Kluyveromyces lactis: one gene and its partner. Each later gene encodes a partner of the first gene's protein in a complex. Links are inferred from orthologs where the notes say so. Each region holds a gene or a part of one and is shown on either strand. Other genes may lie near its edges. The genes, in order: SPC98 and SPC97.

Region 1 (4,521 bases):
AACGACCCATATCTCCACACTCAAATATTTGCGGGATGTTGTTTCGTTGCGGCATTACTCCTTATATTGGGATTGCGGGAGGTGACAGCAAAGATAAAGATAAAAGAAAGACAAACGATAAATTTGCAACGGTTAAAGGATTATGATGATTCAAACTTATCAGAAAAAGACAATAACATCTTGAGAGAAAGAGAGATCAAGTATGATTACTTACTTGGATCAGGCATCAAAAGCTACTTTGCAAGAATGTTTTATCCAATGCATGTATAAAACTCTTTCCACAGAGTCATCTATTCTTTTCTTCCGTCTATAAAAGTAGCATTAGTGAAGTATCTTACTTAGTTTATTTATTTCAGTATTTTCATCCCACTTCAAATCCTTGATATAAGCATTGCATTCATTATCAAAATCCTTCCATTGATCAACCAACTTCTTTGAAATTACATTGAATCTCATTATCGGGTCATGCAAATTTTGGTTAGGATCTAAGTTCATCTGAATGCAAATCTCATGAATGACGTTATTTAGCTCAGAGTAATTTAGCACAAACTCATAACTCATATCCATCAATAAAACCAAAGTAGTTGGATACAGCTGATGAGTGTATGTTCCAAGCGAAGCACCTGAACCTGAATATAAAATTGGATGATTCAAAATATTTGATAAGAATACAGAATGAGCTCTTTTTAGATCCTCAAGATCAAATGAAGAATAGCCGCTAACATCATCTGTCGTAAGTTCTTTGAAGTTTTCGATAAAATGAAGATCAGGTTTTAAAACACCGCTTGAGACTTTTACCCCATTTCTAAGCACTTTAACTTTAACCGAGGAGGTTGGATCGGTATCTTTATGATTTAGATTCGAAAGAAGCTTCCTAAATTCATGTTCAATAATACTCTCGAAACAATATGTTTCAACTTTTTTAGTGAAAGATTGAATCTGATTCTTTAAAACATTGATCATTGAAACTTTATTCAGTAAATCCCTAATAAATGGAACCCTGATGTTCAGCTTTCTAAAAAGTTTAAGAATGGATGAATTTTTTTGCCATTCTTGTTCATAATTGTACTCATTCTTTTTAATTCTCCATAAGAAGTTGAAAATTCTCAGATAATCTCTGCGGCTTCCGTGTTGGTTGATATCCATTACTGTTGAAAGAGGCTGATCCACGAGATAGTCTAATGTGAAAACATCCCAACCCGAAGATCCATGTGCTAATTCCAAAATTCTAGCATCAAGCCTATTCACCAAGAGATTGTTATCTGATTTGTTCAATCTATTTCTCAGAGATGATTGTTGAATTGCGATTTGTAGACACTTCGTTAAATGATGGCTTTCTAAAAGTTGAGAAGGTTGGTTGAAGAGATTTTCCGAGTTTTGAATAATAGAATCAATCACATCGCTTTTACCCATTAGAAGGATATCTTTTAAAAGGTTGAGAGTCTCGAAATAATAAAATTTCGATCGTAATGTGGTGTTGATATAGTGGTTAATTTCACCATATTGCTGGTTAACCAATTCGAAAAATTTGTGATCCATTGAAGGGCCTAATAGCCTATATTGCAATGAATACTTATTTGCAAATTTTCCAATCCATTCAACTTCGCTGCAGCAATGTTCGAGATATCGGAGGGACTTTCCAATAATGTATATTTTTTTGGCCACTAAAGACGGTATAAATTTTGGAATTTTCTGTGGCAAGAATACCAATCCCAATGGTTCTTTCTCGTCATTTTGAACAAAAAAGTCACTACTAACATTTGAATCCAGTTTTCCATCAATCAACCAATCGCATATGTTCTTCATGTAGGGTTGTAAAAGACGCTCTAACGCATCAGATGCAAATTTCTCGAGTACTGGATCACCATTACTTTTTTGTAACTGGCATACAGATAGTAATCCCTCTGCACTGCTTTTTTCAAAGTTTTCAATATATTCCATATATGTCCTTAGTTTTAGTACTTCAGGATAGAGGTGTTGATATGTAAAACATAATGGATCGAGTGGATGTAAGTGGGATGAGAAATTGTTGACGAAATTACTATAATCTCGAAGTTTACTTTGAATCAATGTCAAAAATGCTACTTTTAGTGTACTGGTGGTAACATGTTTTTTAAGATATTCCACTCTAATTTGAAGGTGCAAGTAAAGTAAGCCTGCTTCAACGATATCATGCAACTGTTGGCTTTCTCCGTTCGGAATATTGCTGGGTATTGTGAACTTCTTGTCTTTTAGTTCGAATAAAGTAGAGGGTGTTCCCAACACAAGATAGGGTATACTTTTAACGATATCGGCCCTCGATACCATTGTGCTGAAATATGGATCTGATAAGCTTTGTAATGTAGCATCAGATGAACTATGTTGCCAAGCATTTCCCCCATAGGACCCAATTGACCTTCTGTCCGATACCTTCTCAAAATTCTCAAAAGAATCCGCATAGACGCTTTCCGTTGTTTTCCTTTGTATATTTTCTATCACTTCTTTCGACATTGGTTCTCTCATATCATACAACTCATCGTTTTTGTCTAAAAGTGACAAACATTGCAGTAAATATTTATGTTTTTCTTCCGGACTTGAGAGATGGCACATGATGCCGGCAAACATTTCTAAATGAGACCAACTTTTCATGTCCTGATTGCGTTGCACCATTATTTTTTTATAATATTCCAATACTTTTGTGACATTTTCCTTTGATGATGTTTTGATAGAGTAGTAAAGGTCCTGAATTAATTGCTGAGAATACGCACTGCCAGCAGATGCAGGAAGCATGTGTAGTACACATGTGCCAAATTTTTGGTCCATTATTGTTTTTTCCGTTACCCCACAGTAGAGATAGGGGAAGAGGCTCTTTTTCACATCTTTTACCTTTCACTTTAGCGCACAAATCGTTCTTGTTTGTTGATATTTTCACAAAACAATATCGATCTACTGTTGTTGTATCCAATGATGTAAACATAAAGTGAAAAAGGTTGTGAAATAGTCACGTGATTGACTTTGGTGACCATCACAAGGATTGAAGGAAAGACATATGCAGACATACATGTATACATAATATATATATCAATACAGTACATGTATAATACATTTGTTTAACTTATTATTATGCCATATTTTTTAATAAGGAGCAGAGAGTAGTTCAGCCTCCCTTGAAAAGAAAGAGTTAGAGAATTTGTCATCGTACCCGCAATGTTCCATAGTTCTTTTATAGTGATAGAAATTGTAGAATTGCAGCATGGCCCGTAAAGCAATTTCTTGGCCATAGGAATCGTTGATCTCGCCCGTGATATCCTTCCCTGTTATCCAGTTATCTGTTAAATGAAGTTTCTCATGTAAGAACACTCCAGAAATCAATTCCATATGATCTGCCCTCCATCTTTTATTCTTGAATGGTGCCAATTCGTGAATTATCTTTAATATGGGGTGGTATATGTCCAGATTAAAGATAGAATACAATGCCTTGAATATGTTACTAACATTAAGTGGTAGGTCTTTTAGCCTTTGTGTCTTTTTCCCAGTTATTTTGGATAACACTCGTAATAGATACACCTCGGAATTGAGCATTCGGAGATTTAATCTGTTTGCTTTCTCATTTGCGGTTGATATCTCAAGAGTTTCTTTATATTGAACATTGTATAAAGAACATTCACTCCAAAAAGAATGGGTAGGTTGTAAATGTTTAGAGTAAATTCTGTTTTGATATTGATCAGTAAAAGATTGAAGGATGCCTACGCTTGTCGTAATGAACTTTGAATCGTAAATCAACGAGCAAAGATACTCAAATTTAAGAAAGTGGCTAACCTTAAACCATTTTAAAAGGAGGAAAAGTATGGCAGAACTCGATTCCATTGCAATTTCCTTTGATCTTATAAGTTCCAATTGTGGTTGAAGCTCATTAATTTCTTCTTCAGAAAAATCCTCTTCAAGGTATACTTTGTTTGACATACAAGTTTCAATAGTTTCTAATAGAACATATACTAGAGATGAAAAATGGGGTAAAGCATTAGCATAATAATCTTCGATGCGATTCATGGTTTCAGGTTCCTCATTCTGTATACCTCTATACGTGAATGGGTCCTTCTCATGTACCTCAGTGTTTGTCCATCCTCGTTCTTGCACCATAAATAATTCTCTTTCATGCCATAGTTGTTTAGTAGATAGTTTTATATGCACAGATTTTGACAAAATTTCGATTGCTTCTTGCATGTTATACGGTAACACTGTCTCAGGCACCGCAATACTCAGCTTATTACTAAGTTCGTCTACCACACCAGTATCATAGTCACCAGAGGATGGAAAAAATGCTGGATATGATAAATTGGCTTGAAATGACTTCCTCGTTTTCAATCCGTTGGGCGAGCTTGTGGGTGATGCCGGCTGTGATGGTGCAGGCGTTGCCATATGCACTTGTGGCTCTCCCAACGACATGTTAGAACTGCTCCTCGAACGGGGTCTCGGAATCTCTAAAAATTGTGAAAGAGAATTGGGGTTGTCAAGCATGCTAGGATATGTCGGTTCTGGAAG
Region 2 (4,241 bases), on another chromosome or scaffold:
ATTACTGGTGAGTTCATGGTTGATACAAGGCCGTGCCAATTTATTATTTAAAGTCTGGATTTCAAACTCGATGTTTTTGATAGCATACATTATGGATTCAGATTGTGGCCCATCATTTCTTCGTAGACTCGATACACATTCTTTCAACTTTGCAATTCGTGACTCTATTTCCGCATTAGAAATGTATAAAATTGGGTATCGATTGATGTCATCACTAGATGGATCGTTGATATTCGTTGAGGCATCATCTTTCACAGGATCAAAGCGTCTTGGACATGAAAACCCAACAGGGTGACTCGTCTGTGTCACTGACATGGACCCGGTGGCACTAGGACCCGAACTAGAATCTCTCCCAAATGATGATCTCGATGAGTGTAAATGACTCTGTACTCCAGTAATTGTAGCCTCACTAAAACCTGTTCTAGAAGGTGCGTAGGAGTTCCCATCTATTTCGGGATTCAAAATAGCTACTGTACTATTTGGTATAGACTGTACCGATAATTTTTCCTTTGTGAAAGCAGATGAATCACTCTTGGCAGTTTTTTTCTTGCCCTTTGCGACCCCATACGGAGCATGAGAATAAACACATTCACAGCCATATGTCTCGCACGATTTGCAAGGCAATGTTCCAGAACATTTAATCTTCTTTTTCCTGCAACTATCGCAAGCTCTGCTAACTTTCCTTCTTGGTTTACCAGTGCCGTTGCCATTACTATCTCTAGGAATTGCAGTTCTGTCCCCATTCACCCCAGAAGAAGCACTATCTGACCTTGCAGCTTCTTCAGAAAGCCCTGGAGGAGAAACGGCAGGTTGAAATATGTCAACCATCCTCCGATAATTTATTATGTTGTATTTTGTTTTATTGCGTTACTCTTATGTCGTTCCGCTCAAACAAAATCCTAAAACCCCTAAAAACCCACTAGAAAAGCACTTTTCACTCAAAAAATCATGTAGTATTAATTGAGGATACCAAATTTTTTATTTGCACTCATTCATGACACCAAATATAGATTTAGGTGTATATGAAAACGATTTATTTACAGATCAAATACTCAAAGTCATCGTTATTAAATCTGAATACAGGCTGAATAATGGGTTTTTCATTATGGCTTTGTAATTTTTCACTTTTCTTAGTGAACCAAAAGTTACCCGGATATAGAGCGCATCTCATCGTAGCGCTAAGGCGCGCGTCTAATTATCCAGCGAAATGATTTTACAAAAACATAAACATAAACATAAAAGATGTTTAAGTTAAATGTAAACAATGAAGATAACCAACCATTCCACCGCTTAATACCTATAGAACGATTGTGTGATCCTGTAGCACATTTGGTAACATATAATCAGTGAAGTCAGTGTGGATTTATCAAAAATTAAACTAGAATTAGCATATTGTTGCATTGAAAGACGAACAAACGAATGGAGGATCGCGGTGTTGTTGAGAGCGTGTTTCTACTTAACGATAAGGTAGGACCGTTTGGTCGTCGAGTGAACCCTGCTCCACTGTGTAGCGAAGAGATTAAAGTTAGGACGTATCCGATTGAAAAAACTAGCAATGATAGGGTACAGGAAAGCTTGGTAGTTCGGGATTTGTTACTTGTGTTGCAAGGGTACGAGGGAGTGTACATCCGGTACAATAGCAGCTATAGAAGAGATTCGATGACCGGTCCCGAGTATAAAGTTGTTAAGATGATGAATGTTACGTTTAAGAGTTTTAGTAAAAAATTGATCAAGATAGGATCAATATTTGTGAAATTAGATAAATTCCAGCAATGGTGTTGCGACGAGAGATACGGTAGAGTAATGCACCGCTTGGGCCATGAGGTACGCATATTTTTGTATGAAAATTACTTGAGTTGTATCAAGGAGTTGGAAATACGGTTTCAGCAAGATGTGAAGTTCAGTATACGAGATTTGGAGATGGTACTTGAAGATGGATTCATATACAAGTTTAGACTTTTAGATCAGATAGTTGATCGGATTATGGACAGTACCAGGGAACGGAGTGAAATGGATCGAGTTCAAATGGATTTTAACAATTTCATGGATGATCTAAGGCGAGATACGAATGACGAGTTAGATCTACGTGTACTATACGATACCCGGGTTTCCTTATTCGTGAAAGGAGGATCCTTAATTATCATAGTACAACAGATAATGGAACAAGAACAAGGTGATATAAGACACGTTGAATTTTTATCCCTAATATGCGATTCTCTTAACCGTGTTTACGGTCAGATGTTTGTTGAATGGATGCAAGAGGGAAAATTGAACGATTACCATGAAGAGTTCTTGATAAGTGATACGGTCGCCGATGTGGACGAAGAAAAATTGGCTAATACGATAGATAATGAAAGGTTATGGGATACAAGGTTCGTGATACGGAAGGATGGATTACTTCCGCAATTTCGCGATAAAGAATTGCAACAGAAAATATTGATGACGGGTAAAATTTGGAATTTAATCGCCATATGCTGCGGAAACACAGCTCTTAAACCTAGATCCTGGGGAACTAGTGTCACTAACATCGATATAACAAATATGACCTTCTTGAAAGGGTATGTCAACGAATGTTACCAACAGGCTAACGAAAAGTGTCTCAAGATGTACTACGAAGGGTACCACATGGATAAATTTCTGAATCTGATACACGATCAGTCGTATGTACATGGAGTCATCGATCAATTATGGAACACCAAATTCTTAAGTAAGACGCTATTCGAGTTAACTCGAAGTCCGACAGAGTCTACGTTGCACAAGATTCAAAGGCATTTCGATGACATCTTAAAAGAAATTTCCGTAGAAGATACCTATAGACACATGATATTATCTAAATTGACCAGCGTGAAGATTGATACATGCCCATTTTACGAGACTCTAAGACAATTCATTGATGAACAAGAAACTGGGTTGCTAAACGCCGATAATTTCCAACAATTAAAGGGGATGCTAGTCGCTGAAGAACAGAATCATACTTCACAGGGCTCAAATGAACTCGATGAAGGGAGGAAGAGCAAAAAAAAGAAAAATGCAACCCCAACTGCAATGTATGTACAATTCGAAACAAGCATACCGTATCCTTTGAACATAATATGGACGAAACCAGTGATGGTACAATATCAAATGATACAAAGGTTATTATTGATACTCTCATATCATGAAAGGTTACTAGAGGACACGTGGTTCGAAATCAGTAAGAACAAGCATTGGAGACGCAACTCTTCCCAGCAAAGTGAATACGAGACGCATGGGATGATCTTCGAGGACAACAATGACGATGATGATGATGGTGTTAGATATTTCTACGTTAGAGGTCAATGTATCAGGTTAGCTCGAATATTGCACTTCCAGATGAGATCAATGGTGAAAAGTAAAAGAAACCAAGTTACGTCTGCTGCCGCTGCTGCCACAGCCGTTGCCGCGACTGGAACCCACCCAATGCAGGAAGACCTCTTACAGATTCAACAACACGTACAGGACCACGTGACCAACATCGTATCCCTATCTGGATTAACATCACTGCCACAGATCGAATTGCAAGAAGCCACACTTCACGTGATCCACTCGTTCATCAGGTTTGTAGCTTCATGGCGCAGGACTTCTGATGATGAACTATCTGGCTCATCCGGATGGATCACAAGGATGGATACCCTCAGACAGTACGTTTCCGTATGGAGCGATCTTACAAGAACCAACAGTTGATCCTATTACTTTTTTTTTATTTTTTGTCCCTCCGGGATGGCAAGAGGGACAAAGAAGAATCTTCGTTCTTCTTTCTTGTTCTCAACTTCCCAGCTTCCGTGTGATTACCCTCCGGGACAACAGAAAAACTGGCATTCGGTATCCCGGGAATCTGCTGAGAAGGAAAGAAAACGAAAAAAAAATTGTACATTTGTGTCACATTATGAATTACAGGAAGTCAGAAAACAGGCAGCACATGTCTCGCACATGCATGTCCATCAGACGAGACATTATGAGACATGCACGCGTGTGAGAGACATAGCAAAAGTCTCTCCAGTACACACAGAAAGACACGTTCACAATCCAGGCACCCCACAGAGAAAAAAAAAAGAAGAAGCCCGGAAGCTGGCACGCCATCATCAACCACCGCTCGGTTTACACGCATCCCAACTGTCTTTTTTTTCTGGAATCCTATAATAACTGGCATCTGGAAATCACGTTGTATGTTGCACCATAGTGACTGGCTGTCTGACTAGCAAACATTGATTCCCTGATTCCCA

Evidence for each region.
Region 2: the proteins of SPC98 (region 1) and SPC97 are in contact, whole or in part, in a cryo-EM structure (PDB 7M2W), measured with the Saccharomyces cerevisiae proteins. The link is inferred for Kluyveromyces lactis from reciprocal best matches to the Saccharomyces cerevisiae genes SPC98 and SPC97. Residues at the interface, in NP_014273.1 of Saccharomyces cerevisiae: Ser163, Ser164, Val165, Thr166, Leu167, Arg168, Leu170, Ser171, Tyr174, Tyr175, Asn177, Thr178, Asp203, Glu205, Gln206, Ile207, Gln208, Ile209, Pro210, Ser211, Lys212, Ile213, Pro214, Asn215, Phe216, Ser218, Gly219, Leu220, His222, Leu223; in NP_012042.1 of Saccharomyces cerevisiae: Met1, Glu2, Ile3, Lys4, Glu5, Asp8, Arg9, Ala10, Glu11, Leu12, Thr16, Ile19, Pro20, Leu21, Leu22, Gly23, Lys24, Leu25, Val26, Asn27, His28, Gln29, Pro30, Leu31, Trp32, Asn35, Pro36, Lys37, Leu38, Phe41.

The regions. Positions count from the first base shown.
Region 1 is NC_006042.1:2,258,696-2,263,216, forward strand, and holds SPC98 (Spc98p), read right to left. Parts: upstream 2,803-4,521; coding exon 322-2,802; downstream 1-321. Other genes in the region: ESBP6 (Esbp6p), read left to right, coding at 1-270; FAR11 (Far11p), read right to left, coding at 3,115-4,521. UniProt on the Saccharomyces cerevisiae protein: Involved in microtubule organization by the microtubule organizing center, the spindle pole body (SPB). Probably part of the microtubule attachment site at the SPB.
Region 2 is NC_006037.1:799,954-804,194, forward strand, and holds SPC97 (gamma-tubulin-complex subunit SPC97), read left to right. Parts: upstream 1-1,419; coding exon 1,420-3,702; downstream 3,703-4,241. Other genes in the region: drug-responsive transcription factor PDR1, read right to left, coding at 1-828. UniProt on the Saccharomyces cerevisiae protein: Involved in microtubule organization by the microtubule organizing center, the spindle pole body (SPB). Probably part of the microtubule attachment site at the SPB.